3 linked regions of the Mus musculus genome follow. The protein of the gene in region 3 interacts with the protein of the main gene of each other region in a pairwise test. Links are inferred from orthologs where the notes say so. Each region holds a gene or a part of one and is shown on either strand. Other genes may lie near its edges.

Region 1 (6,846 bases), on a different chromosome or scaffold from region 3:
AGCCTGCACGAGCTACTGTTTCCTAGGGCCCCTGTAAAGTTGCCCACTTCTCTCTCTTTATGTCAGTGCCAATGCTTGACAGAGAGACAGAGCCAGCTGAGGAGGAGGGCTGCTTACACTGACCCTGGTCCTCGGGGGTAGAGCATGCTGAACTGTCCTGATGGCTCCTTTCTTGCCATTCATTTCAGGTCCCAATTAATGGATTCTGACATGGATTATGAAAGGCCAAACGTAGAGACCATCAAGTGCGTGGTGGTGGGGGACAACGCCGTGGGCAAGACTAGGCTCATCTGTGCCCGGGCCTGCAATGCCACCCTCACCCAGTACCAGTTGCTTGCCACCCATGTGCCCACAGTGTGGGCCATTGACCAGTATCGTGTGTGCCAGGAGGTAAGACTACAAGGCCCCTTGGTTGGGGGCCCCCGTGCTATGTGTGTTGAACTGGCTTGGTGTCTCTGGAGCTCCTGAGAGCCCCTAGGGGTGGGGTCGAGGTGGATGAAGCAGATGGAGCCTCTGGAGAGAGGTCTGAGGGAAGGTCACTCCCAGGGAGGTATCTCTGACCATTTGTGTTTGCAGTGATATTCAGGTTACTGTTTCTATTGCTGGGATGAAAAACCATGACCAAAAGCAAGTTGGAGAGGTAAGGGTTTGTTTGGCTTACACTTCCACACCATAGTCCATCACTAAAAGGAGTCAGGATAGGAACTCAAGCAGGGCTGGAGCTGATGCTGAGGCCATGGAGGAATGCTGCTTACTGGCTTGCTCCTCATGGCTTGCTCAGCCTGCTGTCTTATAGAACCCACGACCACCAGCCCAGGGATGGCACTACACACCATAGGTTCCCCAGTCAGTCACTAATTAAGAAGATAACCTGCAGCTGGACCTCATGGAGACGTTTTCTCAAGTTAGCTTCCCTCCTTTCAGATAGCTCTAGCTTGTGTCACGTTGAAACGAAACGAGCCAGCACAACTAGGTAAGGCGGTGGCTAGGATTCTGACTTTGGCTGAGAACCGTGTCTGCAATCACAGTCCAAAGTAATAACATGTTCTTCTGCAGCAAGGAGTGTGCTCTTTTAAGGTCTCCCCTGCTTCCGCTCAGCGTGGAGATTGCCAGTGATTTCATGTGGGCAGCAGGTTGTACAAGACACTTGTACCAGTCCTGTCCTCCCCATCAGTTCTTGGCATCTGTTCCCAAGAACCACTGTCCTGTCTCCCCACCATGCCCAGGTGCTAGAACGCTCCCGAGATGTGGTAGATGACGTCAGCGTCTCCCTGCGCCTCTGGGACACCTTCGGAGACCACCACAAAGACCGGCGTTTTGCTTATGGAAGGTAGGGAAGGCCTTGGGGGCTTGCAGTGAGAGGAGGGGATGCGGTGGTGGTGGGCATTCCCTGGGGTGGAAGACGTTCTGGGCTCAGAGGCATGGTGCAGAGTCCCAGCTCTGCAACCGACTAACTCTGAGCAGCGCCGGCATGGCTTTTCTCACTGTGAGTTGGCGATCAGTTCTTTCTTCCTTTATTTTCTTTTTTCTTTCAATGCTGGATATTGAACCTAGGGCCTTGTGCATCATAGGCAAGTGCCCTACCACTGAGCTATATCTATCTCTAGCCCTTTGCAAAGCAAAACAAACAAGAGAAGAACCATATTTTGAGATAAGATCTTCCAGTGCCCACCTCACCCAGGCAGCCTTGAACTAGAAGTTCTCTGCCTCAGACTTCCCAAATAGCTTGCCTGTAACACCAGGTCTGGCAAAGTAGGAATGTGTGTGTGTGTGTGTGTGTGTGTGTGTGTGTACATAGATATGTTTATTGGCATTTACATGTTCATGTGTGTGCAAATTTGCAGGGAGGGTGTCTTGTACCTGTGTGTATATCTGATGGGCTGAGGTAAACATGTCTTCTTTACTCTCCAACTTAGGGTTTTTGCTGTTGTTGTTATTGTTGTTGTTTTTGGTTTGGTTTTGGTTTTGGGTTGTTGTTGTTGTTTGAGACAGGGCTTTTTTTTTTTCTTTTAAGATTTATTTATTATTATATCTAAGTACACTGTAGCTGTCTTCAGATGCACCAGAAGAGGGTGTCAGATCTCATTATGGATGGTTGTGAGCCACCATGTGGTTGCTGGGATTTGAACTCAGGACCTTCGGAAGAGCAGTTGGTGCTCTTAACCACCGAGCCATCTCTCCAGCCTGAGACAGGGCTTTGTACTGAACCAGGCACATACAATTTTGGCTGGTCTTGCTGGATAGAGTAGAGAGCCCCAAGGATTCTACTCCTCCTCCCCCCTGACACTCCACACCCCACCCCACCCCACCCACTGTCGCTGTGGCGGGGACAAAAATGCCTGTAGCCATGCTTGGCTTTTTCCGTGAATGTTGGAGCACCGGGGATCTGAACTCAAGTCCTCATGCCTGCATGGGAGTCGCTCCCTCCACTTAGCCGTATCCCCAGCTCCAAGCGATCGTTTTTTTAACTCCTGAGATAGCTGTGTGGCCAAGCGAATCTCTGTGCTTTAAAATGCCTACGTAAATTGTAGTCACGATTATTATGTACCGTGCGGAAACGAGTTCTTAAGGCAGGGCTAGGTTGTAGTGGGGGGGGGGGGGGATAGGGCCAAGCCAACATGTTTTCCTTTTTCCAGGAGACCACCATGAGCTTTCTGTGCCGCTAACTTTTCTCCCCCCACAGATCCGACGTGGTGGTTTTGTGTTTCTCCATCGCCAACCCCAATTCCCTCCACCATGTCAAGACCATGTGGTACCCAGAAATCAAGCATTTCTGCCCCAGAGCTCCTGTCATTCTGGTGGGCTGCCAGCTGGACCTGCGCTATGCTGACCTGGAAGCCGTTAACAGGGCCAGGAGACCTCTGGCTAGGTAGGGGTACTGGTGTCCAGGGAGAGAGGGAAGGGACATGGGGACAGGGTATCACTGTGGCTCCCTGCTCAACCAGGAAGGAGACCCACTGACCCTTATATTTCTCCTTTCACTTGGAACAAATTCACATCAAAATCAACAACAAACATGCTCATTCATTCATTCACTCACTCACTCACTCAATTCATCCTTCTATATCATTGTATACCCCCTATGGGGACGGTCTTGTTCTGTATTCCATGAGGAAAGACAGAGAGGAGAAGACGTGTGTGTGTGTGTGTGTATGTGTGTGTGTGTATACACATATGAATGAATGGGTCTTAGAATTCTGCAGTGCTAATATAGTTGGCTCTTCATATCATGAGTTCCATAGCTGTGGGCTCAGCCAGCTTGGCTGTCCTGGAACTCACTCTGTAGACCAGGCTGGGCTCGAACTCAGAAATCCGTCTGTCTCTGCCTCCCAAGTGCTGGGATTAAAGGCGTGAGCCACCACTGCCCGGCCCACAGTGACATTTTATACAAGGGACTTGAGTTTCCATAGATTTGGAATCTGAGGTGTACCCTGGAACTGATCCTCTTCAGATACTAAGGGATATCTGTCTGTCTGTGATTAAATGCCAGTGTGAAGCTTTTGCATGCGGGTTACCAGAGGGGGAGGTGCAGCCCCTGCTTCGAACTGGGGCAGTCAGTAGGGTCTAACATAGAAAAAATGAAGCTTTCCTAAAGGACCGGAGGGCCAGGCAGAAAAGACAAGGACAGATGCGGGCAGATCCTCCCACCTGGAAGAAAATGGCCAGGCTCCTACCATTACCAACACAAGTTTGTTCTCCCTTCTTTATTCACCAGGCCCATCAAGCCCAATGAAATCCTCCCCCCAGAGAAGGGTCGGGAAGTCGCCAAAGAGCTGGGGATCCCTTACTACGAGACCAGTGTGGTGGCCCAGTTTGGTATCAAGGACGTCTTTGACAATGCCATTCGGGCTGCGCTCATCTCCCGCCGCCACCTGCAGTTCTGGAAATCACATCTGCGCAATGTGCAGCGGCCTCTACTGCAAGCACCCTTCCTCCCCCCCAAGCCACCGCCCCCCATCATCGTGGTGCCCGATCCCCCCTCCAGCAGCGAGGAGTGCCCCGCCCACCTCCTGGAAGACCCGCTCTGTGCGGATGTCATCCTGGTGCTGCAGGAGCGCGTGCGCATCTTTGCCCACAAAATCTACCTCTCCACCTCCTCCTCCAAATTCTATGACTTATTCCTCATGGACCTGAGTGAGGGGGAGCTGGGGGGCCCCTCAGGGTCAGGGGGGCCCCGCCCAGAGGACCACCGGAGCCACCCTGAACAACACCACCATCATCACCATCACCACCATGGGCGGGACTTCCTGCTTCGGGCAGCCAGCTTTGACGTATGTGAGAGTGTGGATGAGGCCGGCGGCTCTGGTCCGGCTGGCCTAAGGGCTTCAACCAGTGACGGGATCTTACGGGGTAATGGAACAGGGTACCTGCCAGGCAGAGGACGTGTGCTGTCTTCCTGGAGCCGAGCTTTTGTGAGTATCCAGGAAGAGATGGCAGAGGATCCTCTGACCTTCAAATCCCGGCTGATGGTGGTGGTGAAGATGGATAACTCCATTCAGCCGGGGCCCTTCCGGGCTGTTCTCAAGTACCTGTACACAGGGGAGCTAGGTGAGAATGAGCGGGACCTCATGCACATTGCTCACATTGCCGAGCTGCTAGAGGTCTTTGATCTACGAATGATGGTGGCCAACATTCTCAACAACGAAGCCTTCATGAATCAGGAGATCACCAAGGCCTTCCATGTACGCCGGACCAACCGGGTTAAGGAGTGTTTGGCAAAGGGCACCTTTTCAGGTATGGGACACACTTAGAAGAAGGGGTTCTCTCCAGGAAAAATTTTGAGGGGTCTAGGTTATCCCCTTATTATTCGGAATTGCCATGAAGATATGGCTGTCCTGCTCTCAAGCTAATAGCTTGATGATCTGCAGCCTGTTACTCATATCACATGGCTCCAGAAGGCAGGTGGGTAGTCAGGGCCCTGTGACTGCTTGGGGCCGATTCTCCAGCATATCCACTGTGTCCTTACACGATGCCTCTTCTCCTGGACAGATGTGACCTTCATCCTGGATGATGGGACCATCAGCGCCCATAAGCCCCTGCTGATTTCCAGCTGTGACTGGATGGCTGCCATGTTTGGGGGGCCATTTGTGGAGAGTTCTACCAGGGAGGTGAGGCTGGAGATGGGAAGGGAGACGATGGGAGAGGCATTTACATCTTTGAATTTGAGCATCGGTTAATGGTACTTCCCTGGGCTCCAGTCATATTCTAAGCCCAGTGTAGACCCAAAACACGTTTATAAGATGCTTCCAATAGCCAAGGATTTTTCAATGTTCCAAGAGAGGAAATTACAGTATCTTAGTAGTTTGGAAAGCTCTTTCATATATATCTCATTTAATTTTTCCCAGATGTACATATAGCAAGCCGAACCTGTTATATGCAAGAAAGGGATGCCCTGAGAAGTTACGCAACTTGCACAAAGTTATGCAACTAGGAAAAAAAAAAAAAAAAGAGGGTAGGTCTGGAACTTAGGATTGACAGTTCCTTGGTTCCTTAATTGTACTCTGTGGCTTCCCTAAGACACATGGGAAAGCCTCTGTTCCAAGCTGAAGTGAGCAGTGTCTACAAAGGTTTTATCATTGTTGAGCTATGGAGAGACCAACAGATCAGGAGAAGATGCCACTGGCAAGGTGGCTTGATAGAGATCCCAAGGAGGGTAAATGCACCCCAAGAGAGAAGAGCGGGAGTCAGCCAGTACATAGAGGTGGAGGTATTCCGGTCGTTTGATACCTGACTCTTGGGTGATTGGTATAGGAAATGGTAGAGAGGTGTGTGAGTGTGGAAAAGGAGGTCCACTTGCAGGTAGCTCCTTTGCTAGCTCTAGAACTGGCTGGCTAGGCTACAAAGGACCTCCCAGGCTCTAGAAGTCAGGGCATCCAATATAGAGTATAAAAGCACATAATGAACACAATCCCCTTTCTCTCTCATCATTGCCCATCAGCTGACCCACCTTCCTCCTCACTTGCCACCCTCTTGGGTACCAGCTCAGCCTAGAGTTGGAAGGGGTTTGTTGATGAGCCCTTAGAGATGTTCTCCTGCATCCGGTCCCTCTTCTGTCCTCCTAGACAAGCAGAGTAGCCCGGTGACAGCCTTTGGTGTTTTCCATCATCTCTGTCTCCTGCTTGTCTGTCATTTCTTTGAAGTGGGGGGGGGGGTCATGTTATTTGACTTCTGCCAGGTACCCCTACTGCCCCCAAATTCCCACCCCTTCAGACCATGCTCACTAGATCCTTGACTGAAAAAACCAAACCAAACCAAAACAAAACAAAACCAAGGACCATCAACAGTCATGCTGGGTGAATTAGAAATGTGAGCTCCCTAAGGCTTCTGGGAAGGGTAAGCTGAATAGTTAAGAACTGGACTGGTCTCTGAAGTGGGAGAAGGAGTTGGACACAAAGAATATGGCCAGGATTCTTAGAAGCCCCCCTGAAGGGGGCCTGTGCACCCTGGGCATTTCTCAGCACCACAGACACACATTTTAAAGCTCTACCCTGTTCTCAGCAAGCCTAGAGTGAAATCCATCTGATTAAAAAAAAAAAAAAAAAAAAAAAAGCAGGTTTTGTTTCTGTGCTGCTGTGAGGTGATCCCAGTGGCCCAGAGCAGCTGAGCTGAGCAGCCAGCGGCTCCCTTTGCTCACTCTGTAGCCCACTTCAGCTCTTCCCTGCAGGCACCGGGGACTCTGGGGAGTGGCTGACCCAAATGGCCCCCTTCAAGCATCTTCCCTGCCAGAGTGGCTTCAGGGAGTTACCAAGAATCTAGGTCCCTTTAGAAGGCACCAGCGCCCCTACTCCACTAATGCTGTCAAGTCACTGAGCCAAGATTATTGGGGTTCCCTAAGCAGGTTCGGGA
Region 2 (6,846 bases), on a different chromosome or scaffold from region 3:
AGTGCTTCTCCGGGGGAATCTGAGGTGTGGGGTGGATGCAGGAACTGGAAACAGCCCTCTATAGTCAGAGGTAGCACTGATCAGATGTGGTGGTCTGGCCCCTGCTGGGCTATGGGACACAAAGCTGGGGATCTAGATAGCCCAGAGCTACCAGGGGCCTTGCCTGAGTGACTCCCAAAGCTCTCGTGGTGGAACTTTAGATCCCCAGCAGGAGCCAGAACACCACATCTGATCAGTGCCACCTCTAACTGTGGAGGGCTGTTTCCAGTTCCTGACATCCCCCACCCCTCAGGTTCCCCTGCAGCATTGGTGGGGCGGGGCCTATCTTGTTTCCCCTCGTCCAGGTTCTTCGTGATCTCCAAATCTGGGCTCAGGAACACAGATGGACAGAGGGCACCTGCAAGGGTTCCACACAATGCAGGGAGGAGCTGGAGCCCAGCCCCTGCTCCAGAGCTCACTGATGGCACTCACCTTCCTCGGCTCCCTCCCTTCACCTGAGGCTGGACTGTAGGGAGCTTTCCCATTGGGAGGGAGTCCAAGCCAGCCAGAGCAGCCTGCAGTAGGGAGGCACATGCCGCCTGTGATCTTACCACTGGGAAAGGGAAGAAGCTAGAGACCCCAGCTGTGGGCTGCAGTTGGCATCCCCACAGAGGTTCCAGGGATGCGGGGCCTAGCATGGATGGCTAGGGTGACATTACCTTATGCCTAAAGATGAAGCTTGCTTCAGGCCTCTGCCTTTGGTGAACTCAAGTCTCCCAGATGCCATGTTGCTTTGTGAAACTGATGGGGACAGGGGTGGGGCCCCATCTATTTGGGCCGTGACTGTCATCACGTCTCAGTGATGTGCAGGGCCAGAATTGGTGCATTCAAAGTTGTGTTGGTGTAGAAACACAGTGAGGAAGTGAAGGAGCCAAGAATGTGGACCCTGGGAGAGGCTTGGAAGTGTTCTTGGATGAACCAGTAGGGACAGAATGGTATGCCCCTCTATGCAGGTCCAGGCCCCAGGGCTGTCAGGGGCTCTAACTCACCCTTGGAATGTTAGCTCTTAGGGCTTTCCTGATACCCCCACTCTTAGATTGGCATCCAGAACTACTCCACCACCAGCAGCTGCCAGGCACGAGCCACCCAGGTGCGCAGTGACTACGGGACGCTCTTTGTAGTGCTGGTGATCATTGGTGTCATCTGCTTCATCATCATTGTGCTTGGCCTACTCTACAATTGTTGGCAGCGCCGGATGCCCAAGCTCAAACACGTGGTGAGTAGGCCAGGGAGGGCTTAGGACTGTAGGGCAGAGTGTGGCTAGTATCACCCAGTGCTACCCAAGAGCCTCACCTAGAAACCTGTACCAACTCAGTTGTGCTCAGTGCCACCATCTACCCTCTCTGAGCCTGGTCTTCGAGGAGATACACAGTGAGGGGGAGTTAAGTCTCACCAAGGGATCCCTCCTCTCCTCCAGCTCTTCCTAACCCCAGTGCCCCATTCTGCAAGGCTTGAGAGCAGCTGCTCCCCTCAGTCCTAGAAGCCAAAGGCTCCTGCAACCTGCACAAGAGAAAGGGGGCAGGCCCTGCACATTCTGCCCTATCTCGTATGCTTTGAGTGGGCTGTCTCATGTATAATGCGCTGTTGGAAGGGATCAAGTGACACCAAGGGGGTCACAGGGTTTACCTGCAGAGGTTTAGGTTTGAGTTGCAGGCACTTGTATCCTGGGCCCCAAGGGAGTAGTACCCTGGGGGCTTGGCGTGGCCAACCACTGTGCGCGCCTAGCGCTCTCTCCTGCTGCTGCAGTCGCACGGTGAGGAGCTGCGCTTCGTGGAGAACGGCTGCCACGACAATCCCACGCTGGACGTGGCCAGCGACAGCCAGTCGGAGATGCAGGAGAAGCAGCCCAGCCTGAACGGTGGGGCCATCAACGGCCCGAGCAGCTGGAGCGCGCTCATGGGCAGCAAACGCGACCCTGAGGACTCGGACGTGTTCGAGGAGGACACTCACCTGTGAGCGCCGGGCCACGGGCGCGAGACTGCCCGACGCCACGGCCCCGCGCCCCTCCCGGTCCTCCACGCGGACCACTATGCTTCCCCACCGCAGCAGGCGACCGCGGCGCAGCTCCCACCCCGCCCTGCCCGGCCCCGAGCGCTTGCCCGAGGCCAGCGCGCTCCCCGCGCCAGGACTCCATTAAAGCCGCTAAGACGCGCGGGCCGCTCCGCCTCCACGCCTGTTTTTTGCCTTCCGAGGGCTGCACTCCGGGGAGTGGGTGGGATGGGCCTGGAGGAGTAGGTGGGGCAAGGGAGGCTGGCTGGGCGTGGCCAAGGACGGGTGGGCTGGGAATTTCATGGAGTTTGTGGGCGTGGTTAGGGATATGTGGGCGGAGGGTAGGGAGTATAAGGTCATCTGGGTGGAACCAGGCCGGGTGGGCTGAGCCTGAAGTAGGCTGGGAAAAGTCCTGGTGGGCGAGGCCTCGGCCTGATGTGCGGGACCTGAACCGAGCTAGACTCAGGACTGACAAGCGTTCCAAGCCTGTGGGAGGTGCTGTTTTCAGAACGGATCCCAAGAAATGTGGGCGGGGCCTGCAGCGAACTGCTCTTCCGGTGAAGCTCTTCTGAGGAGGCGGGGTCTTGGTAGTGAGCTATTCTTCGGGCGAGTGGGCGGAACCTGGGGGAATTGAGTTGTCCTCTAGACGGGTGGGCGGGGTGAAGGCTAGAAGTCCCCAGAGGCTAAGTGGGCGTGGTTAAGGTTACTGGGTGCGGCCTTGGGGAGCGGCCTTCTGGATGCGAGGGCGGGGTTCGGGCCGGACGGTCCTCCGGGCGGCAGGCGCCGCTGCGGAGTCGCAGGCGGGCATAGCTAGGCCGTGCCGCGAGGGGCGGGGCGGTGAGTGTTTACATCCGGCCGGGCACAGACGACTCCCGAGATCACTCGGCCGGGGGTCCAGTCTCTTTCGCCATGGATACCAGCGACTTGTTTGCCAGCTGCAGGAAAGGGGACGTGGGCCGTGTGCGGTGAGAACCTGAAGTGCAGGAGGCGGGCAGGCGTCCGCAGGGCTTATCGGGCACGGGTGTGGGGTTGGGCGCCGTGGGGCTCCCGAAGCTGACCGAGTCAGGGAGATCGGGCTCTAGGTCCCTTACTTAGCTCGGTGCAGGGAAACGACTCCTCTCCGTGGAGGTTCCAAGAGGCGCAGGCGCCGCTGGTGCAGCCAGTTACCAGCCTGGCGCCGAGACCGTGATCTCCGTGGGCAGGCAGGGAAGAGAAGGATCCTGACCCTTTTCTTTGATAGACTCCTTTCTCCCATGGCCCTTCCTTCCAAGTCCCCTGGTCCTCAACAGATGTGACCAAGCTGCAGCTCTCTCCGACACCAGATGCCACCTCAGAGTTAATGATCCGTCCCTCAATTTGAATGCAGCTCTGAGAGTTCAGGTCTTGCCTCAGATAGCCTCCTTGGGCTGCCATGTCCCAGTGATCGCTTTCTGGTTCATGACCTCTTCTCCTCAACATTTTATCAATTGTTTTTTCCACTTCTTCCATAGATCTGTTCTGTTCCCCTCCTTCCCCGCCCCCAGTGCCTGCATCAGCTTTCTTCTGACTTCCCTGCCATTGGCTCCCCAGGCTGAATTAGGGGCCCCATCACCTTCTCTCTCCCAGATATTAAAAGACCAAATTCTCAGCCTTCTGAACCTGGGGCTTGGCCTCTGTCCATGAAGCCATCACCCAACTCACAGTTGCAGACCCTTGCAGACCTGTGTAGTCCCAGGCCTTACCCTTCTCAGAGGCATTCCCTAGCCCAGAGAGATGTGGCCTCCTTCCCCTTCCTGGTTGTCTCTCTCCCAGATGAGAAGCAATTCTGACCCAGGCTTTGAACTTCCTGCCCAGGTACCTGCTGGAGCAGCGAGACGTGGAGGTGAACGTGCGGGATAAGTGGGACAGCACCCCTTTGTGAGTGTGAGCGGTGGGGTAGCTGGGTGGGCAGGGTGGGCCTACCCTACTGACAGCTTCCCCCTTTCCTAGGTACTATGCCTGCCTCTGTGGGCATGAGGAGTTGGTGCGCTACCTGTTGGCTAATGGTGAGAGAGGGTCAGGGTCTGCCTGTAAGCTCTGAGACCTTGCTCCATGTTTGTATGCACCCTTGATTTCTTGTTAACTCCCTAAAGTCAACACATAGTACTCTCTAACCCTCTATCCACTTTCTCACGTTACCCTTGACACCCAGGCCAGTTCTGGGGCTGTCTCCTGTACTGTACCACCATTGGTCTGCTAAACTGACTCTCTGATCTCCATATTTGCAGGCAGGAGGATCTTTCCACAGCAAAGCTGATGGGAGTGTTTGGGATAAAAGCACGTGGGCATGGTTGCCCACACCTGCAATTAAATTATTGGGAGAGAGAAAAGTCGAGACAGGGATTATCTTAAGTTCAAAGCTAGTCAGGGCTACATTGTGAGACCCACTCTGACCTCCTCTCACTTTGCCTTCCTTGGGTCTCCCACCTGCTGGCTGCCCCACTAGACCTACCCATCTCCTACCTCAGGGTCTTCTCAGTTGCAGTACTTCCTGCTTAGACTGGAGTTCCTTCCTAGATCTATGCATCTCCCGCTTCTTTCAAGTCCCTGTGCTTAGCCACCTCACTTCACAGTTCTCCCCATGTGGCTGCCACTGCCATAGTCACCCTTGGTTCTGTTTTGTAATAATGCCGGCTGTCATATAATAAACTATGCATGGGCTCCACTAGGTTCAGTTGGGGCAGGGATCTGCTAGTCACCAAGATGGCTATTTACAGGGCCAGCCCCTCAGTCTGGCCTTAACTGCATATAGTCCAATATTTACATGTGTATTCATGAGTATGCCTACATCTAAGTGCACAGATTGTATGCCTTGGCCTTCCCAAGGACCGAAGGGTTGCCTGGGCCTCTGTGGCAAGGAAGGGCCTCTGGGGAGCTGGGGAGGCCAGAGATCTCCCCAGACTAGGTGTTCCCTTGACTCTGACTGATGAGCATTGCTTTGTAGGAGCCCGCTGTGAGGCCAACACCTTTGATGGAGAGCGGTGTCTCTACGGAGCGCTAAGCGACCCTATTCGCCGTGCACTGAGAGACTACAAACAGGTCACTGCGTCCTGCAGGAGGCGGGATTACTATGACGATTTCCTGCAGCGGTGAGCTGGGGGTGGAGCTTGCAGTACTGCTGGGGTTGCTGGGCACTCTCAGTGGGTTCTGGTGGGTGGGTTTGCTGAGTGGTCCTGGTGCGCCAGCAGTTGTCAGGATGATGCAACCTTTCCTGGCTTTTCCCAGGCTTCTGGAACAGGGCATCCACAGCGATGTGGTCTTTGTGGTACACGGAAAGCCGTTCCGGGCCCATCGCTGTATCCTCGGTGCTCGCAGTACCTACTTCGCCAACATGCTGGACACCAAGTGGAAGGGCAAGAGCGTCGTGGTTCTCAGGCACCCCCTGGTGTGTCCATCTGCCTTGGGAGAGAGTGCCAGTTTCTGGGAGAACAGATAGTTCATGCTGGGTGGTAGCCTCTGACCTTCCCTTTCTACTCTGCCTGCAGATCAACCCGGTGGCCTTTGGGGCTCTACTGCAGTACCTGTATACAGGTGACTGACCGACCCCGTGGGCTGGGACAGCAGCACACCCAGGGTGGCCCAGAGCTGATGTCACCTTTGGGGAGGAGGAGTGTGCCCAGCATGACTTAACCTGTTTGGAGAGGACAGGTCCCATCTACAAATTGAGCAGGTCTTAGGTCCTTCCGGATGAGAAAACCAAGGTATTGAGTAGGAGTCACTCTCAGGTCCTGACTCAGCCTCCTCAATCCCCCAGGCCGCTTGGACATCGGTGTAGAACACGTGAGTGACTGTGAGCGCCTGGCCAAGCAGTGCCAGCTGTGGGACCTGCTGGATGACCTGGAGGCTAAGTGCGAGAAGGTGTCTGAATTTGGTGTGTACAGGGTCTCAGTCCAAGGTCTTGGGTTACAGCCTGCAGCTCTGGTCCACCTCTCTAAGTCCCTGCCGTCTTCTCCCCCCAGTGGCTTCCAAGCCTGGCACGTGTGTGAAGGTGCTGACTATTGAACCTCCTCCAGCAGATCCCCGGTTACGGGCAGATATGGCCCTGCTAGCTGACTGTGCCCTGCCATCTGAGCTGCGGGTATTGAAGGGCATGCCAGCTTGGTGGGCATGATGGGTGTCTAGGGATGGGGCTGTGAGGGGCAGGTTCCACAGAGCTGGGTTCCCTTCCTAGGCCAACCTAGAAGCTACTTCCCTTTCATGAACGGCTTTGCTCTGAGTCGTCTCTTTCCTATACCAGGGTGACCTTGGAGAGCTGCCCTTCCCATGTCCCGATGGCTTCAGCAGCTGCCCCGATATCTGCTTCCGAGTGGCTGACTCCAGCTTCCTCTGCTACAAGGTACCTGTCCCACCCCTGGCCGCGCTGCTCAAGCCCTGGGCTGGCCCCTTGGGGCAGATTCGAGCCCTGGTCCTTTGTGACCTTGCTTCCTCAGGCTTTCTTCTGTGGCCGCAGTGACTACTTCCGGGCCCTTCTGGATGACCACTTTCAAGAGAGTGAGGAGCCTGCAGCCTCTGGAGATCCCCCAGTTGTCACCCTGCATGACATCTCCCCGGACATCTTCATTCACGTGTTGTACTACGTATATAGTGACCATACCGAGGTGAAGTGGCGCCCAGCAGGAGGGCAGTGGTGAACAAGCCCTGGGCCGTCTGCCGTAGTGTTGTCACAGTCCTTGGGTCATTCCTGCACTTAGCTGTCCCAGAGTTCCTGAGCCAGGCCTGTGGGTGGCTTTAGACAGTACCAAAGGTTCCCTCTGTTGGTATGTGTTCATGGCAGTGTAGCAGGGCACTATACAGGAGAGA
Region 3 (6,614 bases):
GCTGACAGTACATTAACCTATGATGGCGATTGAGAAGGATGGGTTTAGCCTCCTGAGTTTCTGGCTTGAATGAGTAGACAGAAGTTGAGCCCTTAACTACCGAGTAAGAGAGAATACGTGCTTGTGTGGGCCATATCTTAATTAATAAATGGACAGTTGACTTTACTATATACTGACATATGCATGGGCAGTCGATTGTGGCACTAAATGTCTGTAAAAAATTGAGAAGGCCAGATGTTGAATTGGGAACTCACTTTGTATGGAAATACAGTCAGAACTGAGTCTATATTAAGTTGCTCAGGAGTACCATAGGAAATAACAACAACAAAAAAAGCAGTAAGAAAGAGCCCATATTTGGGAGCAATAAGAATGCTTAATGAATGACACTGAGAAGAAACCAACCCTTTTAAAGGGGTTCTTTCTGAACCAGCTGTGCTAATGTCACAAGTCTTAGAAGTAGAGGTTCCTGGACCACCCAGACTTAACTGAATCAGAAATTCTAGAGTCAGCAATCTGGCCTCTCACAGGCTCTGCTTAGGTGATTATGAAATGTGTTCAAATCCAGAGTTGATGTTTTTGAGAGTTAATTACAATTTAGACCTTGCAAGGAAGGAGAATAAATGTAAAATCTGTTCACAGTCTGTAAGATAGAGTTAAGGATTGGCAGTTTCAAGTGGGTGGTAGCAAGATTTTTGTTGTTGAGCAAGGTTTTTGGTTCTAGAATGGTAATTGTAGAAGGATGATAGATTGTAGTTGGCATAGTTAAGTGCTAAAATTTGACATTTCAAAGTATTTCCAATAATTGCATGTTGGAAAATAGCCTTGATTAACAAGAGTAAAAGAAAATCTGGCTCATAGGATGAATGATGAGTCAGGGTGGATTATTGAAATGACCATGAGCTTTGAGGACAAAGGTTTAGATTCCCTCTGGTTCTGTCACTAATTGTTAATACCAACTTTATTTCCTTTGTAAAATGAAACAGCCTACCTTGCAGTTAAAAATCTGTCTCTGTCTCCGTGTGTGTGTGTGTGTGTGTGTGTGTGTGTGTGTGTGTGTGTGTGTGTGTAGATAAATATTGTGATTAACAGACTGGCTGCTACAGTGAACGTTTTACTGGTAGAACCATACTTAAGATCTGACTGTGACTAGAGCAAAGAATGCCAGAAGTTGCTCTTAGTATTGGGTGCCATTGCTGTAAAGGATTTTATCTGTTAACTCATCTCTGAGATCCCAGAGCTGGACTGAGATGAATCAGGAATTTAAACCCAGGCAGTCTGGAACCAGGACTTTTGCTTATAAACACGCTATCCTACCAGGTTCTGTGAACTGGGAAGGTAACCCAGAAGTTAATAATATCATCAACATGATTAAACTATATTCTGGTATGTATTCAGAATACTGAAATCTAACTAATCCTCGTTAGCATCCATATTTTGACACAAAGAAGTATGTTTTTAAACATCCATTAAATTTTCAAGTAAAAGCTTTAAAATTTTTGTACTTTTTCTTGTCTAGTTCTTACCTCACATCCCCAAGTACTAAGATTATAGGTATTAGGCACCATGCTTGGTGCATCTAACTTTTTTTAAATCAGGTCACTAAATTTTTCAGCTTTAAATGGCATGTCGGCTCTAGTAAAAAGATAGGGATTTTTGTTTGTCTATGTGGAAGTGTTTTAGTTAAGACTTTACTTTTTCTTTTTAGGTAACTCAGCAACTGAAGGCTCGATTCTTACCAAGTCCAGTTGTTATTAAGAAACGTATTGAAGGACTTATTGAGAGAGAATATTTGGCACGAACACCTGAGGATCGCAAAGTATACACATATGTAGCATAAAATGCATTCAGAAATTTGATTTATTCTTGGACTGTACTCTTCGCATGGACTGGGAAGTTCTTTTAAATCATACTATTAAGACGACCATCTCTTCTGTTAAATTGCAGTACGTGTTATAGACCACTCAGATCAAGCCTCTACTCCCTCTGAGAGTTTTCAACATCAGTTGATTGAGCTTCAGGCTTTCCAACGTTATCCCTGTAGAGATCATCTTTACAGTTCCTCGGGAAAATGTGAATGTGCCGCGTTTTGTTTTCAATATTGTATGAAAACAGGAAAAAAATAAAACAAATTTAGAAAACACAGCTCATTAAAATAAAATTGTTGGATTTCATTTCCCCAGGTCTTCAGTGTTGATGTAAATGTGTTTCTGTAGTGTTGCTTATTAGCACTTTGCGCATTGTGTAAGTTGGGTAGCAAAAATGGCAAAAGAGATGCAAAATTCCCAGTTATCTTGCTCTGCTTGTGACATTTCCTTCGCTGGTATTGTTTAAAGGTTTGATACATATACAAAGACCCAGGCATACAATTGGCGCATGCTTTATCCTACCACTTGCACTTCCTAGTCTCACAGCCTTATGACCAAGGACCTTTATTTGGACATCAATACATACCCTGACTTGTTTTTCTCTATTGTAATCTGAGGTTTTCCAAATTAAGTTCTAAGATTATTAGGTTTTGCTCTGAGTTATTTCTAGAGAAAGAAAATATTTTAGTATGTATAAATTGTACAATAATTTTTTTGCTGTTGTACTTACTGCTAACAGTGGATTGTATAGGGTGGTGTTTTTATTTCATTTATTGTAGACAAAATAAATAAATTTAGTATTCACATACACACTAACTCAAGTATGTCAGAGCACAAAGGTGGCAGCTGGTTCTATTTAATTTAGTTCCTTTGAAAAGCACATCCATCCATTCTACCATTTGTTTATAAATATATCCCCCATCCCCCCACACACAGTTTAAATATATATTTTGGTGAAGCTGTGGTACACCATTAATTGTTTCAAAATGCAATCTAAAGATGCAATAAATAGAGTACCTTGATAGTTTGAAGGAATTCTTCAGTTCTTGCAGCTGTGTTTTAGAAAGTGATTAAGCAATATTTTTCAAACGTGGATATTTAGCTATCCATTGTCCTCTGAAGAGTCCTTTTCATGTTTTCAAAGATGTGCTTTGTGCTGAAGATTTGTGTGTCCGTTCCTCTGTGCTTCCAACTATCACTGAAGTCTTCTACCTGATTGATCTGCCAAGGATTATAGTTTGCTTTAACTTCAGAGTATTTTTATCTTCCATTTTATTTAATTTTGTTCCTTTTTCTTTTCTTTCAAGATAATGTTTTAGATATGTAATTGGGGAAAACCACTAGATTTCTGTCAAAAAAATGAAATGTTACTGAATTCAAGTAACCAACTCTCCATTGAATATCAATACTGTTGATATACTTATTAGAATGTATGTCTCAGAAGATGGTTTCTGTTAAATATATGAAGTTACAATTACTGAATTCTAATATGGATTAAAAGCTCCACATAAATATTTTCCCCATGCGTCTTGGATTATAATTTTCCTTTTAGACTTGCTTTTATTGCATTTAAATTTGCTTTTATATGTACTGTTAATTTTAAGTCTTAGGATCTTAATCTCTACATGTTCTCCACCTTTCCATGAGACAGTAAAGGTGTGGGCAGTACGGACAGGTTCTCGGTGCACCTTGCTGTGCTTGCACAGGTACGGTGGGACACTGATGGATTGCTTTCTGGTGTAAATAGAATTTTTACGAAGGAAGCTACTTTTAACAGTTTGGAAGTGAAGACAGCTCAGCTGTACAGATTAGGTCTAATGTATATGTAGGGACATAAAGGTTTGCTAATTGTTCTGGTAGATGCTTGCTTCTGAGTTAAAGTAAATGTATTTGTTGGGCAATGCTGGCTCTGCTACCTTACAAAATTCATGTGATGCATTTGGTATTTCTCAGCAATAGGTCATTGACATTTTTATCCTCTAAATGTTTTAAAAGAATAATGTGATGAGATTCTTTTTTGTGACTTGAATTTTAGGAAAGATGGATAATTTTTCCAGCTATAAAAAATGATGTCATTAATTGTTAAGTTATTCTTTGCTGTCATTCTTTGTGGGACAGCATTTTTTTATTTGTCATTTAAATATTGAAAATTTATTCCAATTAGGAAACAGCTTCACAAAATAAAAAATATGGTTGTAATTCCAAGGATTCTTTATGTCAGTGAACTACAAATGGAATTAAAGGGATGCATGTGTGGGGCATTGTGAGCACAGGGCAGGAAGGCACTGGTTCAAGATCTGGAAGATACTAATACGCCTTTGCAGTGAGATTCTCAAGAACAGTGAAGTAGCGCTGACGTTTGTTTCCTCAGTATGCAGGACAAACAGAAAGGCTTAGGTAAGAGCCAATGCTCTAAAGATAATGTGTACATTTCCAGAAACTAGCACCCTTACTGACACCTTAATTTCTCTATTTGGGTCTAAATTTTAGTATATTTAGTCTACACAATGACCTTTTCAGGTTAATTTTGAATATCCACTTTGATCAAATAATACAATATCTTGCCCTTGTCTGTCTACTGCCCTTTTGAGAGTAGCCTAAGTTTTCATGTTCCATGTTTTACACAGCATAAGGCTCTCTCATCTTAGAAGGAAAACCTTTGTATTATTTGTATTATGTTTTGCCCTATATGGTACTTCTTTATGCAGTAAATATTTTATGTTCTATTGATAAGAATGGAAAATCTAAGTGAAACTAAATTATTTCTAGTCCTGAGAAGTCACACAGGTGTTTACTGTGTGCAGTCACTTGCGAGCTCTTTCTGATGGTTATTTAGTTGTCATGTCCTCTGACTTAACCATTATGTAAGATAGCTGCTGAAAAATGGCCAAGCCAATATTTAAACCTTGGTTTGATTCTAAGCTAGTACTCTGGAGTTTATGTCTGCGTCTTGTGTTGCAAGTGGATATATATGGTTTTCCATCTAAATCTGTCATTGTGTACATCATTTGCATGAAGCAGTGGATGATGTGTATCTCGGTATGGAATTCTGCATGTTTTTGTTGGTCCATGTTTGCTGATAACAACACTAGGCAAGAAGCAAGAATGATGGTGGCTGCTATTTTGGAACATGTCCATTTAAAGGATCCTGTACTCTACATTTCTTAGTGTGAGGATCACAAGGTAAGTGGTTAAGATCTACACTTAATTTTTTTTCTCCTTATTGCATGGTTTTCCATTCCAAGTCAGTTTTCCAAAAGGTACAGGACACAAAATGACAGTGAATTTAATGAGTCATAAAGCTAGCTCTTAGAAGAAATTGAGCAAAGCTTCATGTAATGTTCTTAGAAATGGCACATATGTAAACAAGACTTAAGTAATTTCTTCCTTAATATTTGGGTCTAACGATTCTGAGGGGGCCTCAATGAAATGACTTACAGTATATGAGAAGCTCCAAGTAGTGTGTGCTGTGTTTCTAGTTAATGAAGTAAAGTTTAAGCATTCTAATAAAGTACAGCTCATAGAGCATAAAGCTTTAATGTGCACAATTCTTGCAGTGTGAAAAATTAAGCTTCTGAGTCTCCAGATTATTTGTCTGTTATGATTGCTGAGTGACAGAATCTGGTGTGGTGGATGTGATAAATTCAAGATGTGCTTTGCCATTAGCAGGTAGGTAGGTAGCTACAAGTCTTAGAAACATTCAGCTTTCTAAGTTAAAATCTGTAATAAAACTCAGACAAAAACAGGTACAAGACAGTTCACCCTCAAAAATTTAAGGTGACACTATCAGTATTAATTCAGGAGCTTTATTTGGTGCATTTAACACAACTTATAATTACAAAATCCACTTTGCCTGTGTAAGTGAACAACACAGACACCTTATTGGCTCTCTGAAAGTCTTCATTCTATTTGGACCATAGAGAGGTAGGATATGTTACCTTTTAAAAATTGCAAATGGTTTTAAGTTGGTAGGCAAATGTTACAATAATTTCATATCATTTATAATCTCACAATCTTTCTAAGTAGATTAGATTTCAGTAAAAACTACCTTCTAAAGTAGTCCCCCACCCTTCCTGGGGTAGGGGTGTGCATAACTATATTACAATTAATATGCATGGTGCAGGATTTCATGCAAATGAAGTGTGATAGCAGCATTACAATTTAAATGCATTAAAGGAAAGGATAAATGCAGAAGCTTGCTGTTGGCTTAGATTATTGGCTTCTAGAAACTTTACTGGTTTAAAAAACAGAGCCTGGAGGGTGGGGGGAGGTGTGCAAAATCTCACTAATAGGACAGTGCTGGAATAACTCTTCACTCTAAAACATAACCTCACTCTAAAGCCTATGGGGTTGGGGTTGGTTTGGTTTGGTTTGGTTTGGCTTTTTCAAGACAGGGTTTCTCTGTATAGCCCTGGCTGTACTGGAACTCACTCTACAGACCAAGCTGGCCTAGAACTCAGAAACCCACCTGCCTCAGCCTCCCAAGTGCTGGGATTAAAGGCGTGTGCTACTGTTGCCCACCAAAGCCTGTGTTTTTAATGACTGTTCATGTACCATCTCTAGGAACAGTGGTTTGTACAGAGAGGGCTTTGCAAATTGAATTTGGATCTTAAGATTTTTCTTGGCATATAGTTTGGTTGGTTTATGTTGGCTTATTGGTGTTCCTGATACTGAAACAGCATGGACCAAAAATTATAATGTGTATATTGCTATATATGATATTGGCTGTTGTTTGCAACAACAAAAAAA

What was found.
Region 1: the proteins of Cul3 (region 3) and Rhobtb2 interact in a two-hybrid assay, tested with the Homo sapiens proteins (2 studies listed by BioGRID). The link is inferred for Mus musculus from reciprocal best matches to the Homo sapiens genes CUL3 and RHOBTB2.
Region 2: the proteins of Cul3 (region 3) and Abtb1 interact in binary tests that used the Homo sapiens proteins (3 or more experiments, as listed by UniProt). The two-hybrid records come from large-scale screens. The link is inferred for Mus musculus from reciprocal best matches to the Homo sapiens genes CUL3 and ABTB1.

The regions. Positions count from the first base shown.
Region 1 is NC_000080.6:69,794,162-69,801,007, reverse strand, and holds part of Rhobtb2 (rho-related BTB domain-containing protein 2), read left to right. Parts: intron 1-188; coding exon of another isoform or gene 189-198; coding exon 199-390; intron 391-1,226; coding exon 1,227-1,330; intron 1,331-2,683; coding exon 2,684-2,869; intron 2,870-3,715; coding exon 3,716-4,734; intron 4,735-4,989; coding exon 4,990-5,108; intron 5,109-6,846. UniProt on the Homo sapiens protein: Regulator of cell proliferation and apoptosis. It likely functions as a substrate-adapter that recruits key substrates, e.g. MSI2, to CUL3-based ubiquitin ligase complexes for degradation. Required for MSI2 ubiquitination and degradation.
Region 2 is NC_000072.6:88,837,916-88,844,761, reverse strand, and holds the start of Abtb1 (ankyrin repeat and BTB/POZ domain-containing protein 1), read left to right. Parts: upstream 1-2,826; 5' UTR 2,827-2,937; coding exon 2,938-2,993; intron 2,994-3,861; coding exon 3,862-3,924; intron 3,925-3,996; coding exon 3,997-4,052; intron 4,053-4,990; coding exon 4,991-5,135; intron 5,136-5,271; coding exon 5,272-5,431; intron 5,432-5,531; coding exon 5,532-5,577; intron 5,578-5,800; coding exon 5,801-5,917; intron 5,918-6,005; coding exon 6,006-6,124; intron 6,125-6,283; coding exon 6,284-6,382; intron 6,383-6,476; coding exon 6,477-6,644; intron 6,645-6,846. Other genes in the region: Podxl2 (podocalyxin-like protein 2), read left to right, coding at 1,076-1,255, 1,765-1,995. UniProt on the Homo sapiens protein: May act as a mediator of the PTEN growth-suppressive signaling pathway. May play a role in developmental processes.
Region 3 is NC_000067.6:80,262,379-80,268,992, reverse strand, and holds the end of Cul3 (cullin-3), read left to right. Parts: intron 1-1,705; coding exon 1,706-1,837; 3' UTR 1,838-4,070; downstream 4,071-6,614. UniProt on the Homo sapiens protein: Core component of multiple cullin-RING-based BCR (BTB-CUL3-RBX1) E3 ubiquitin-protein ligase complexes which mediate the ubiquitination and subsequent proteasomal degradation of target proteins.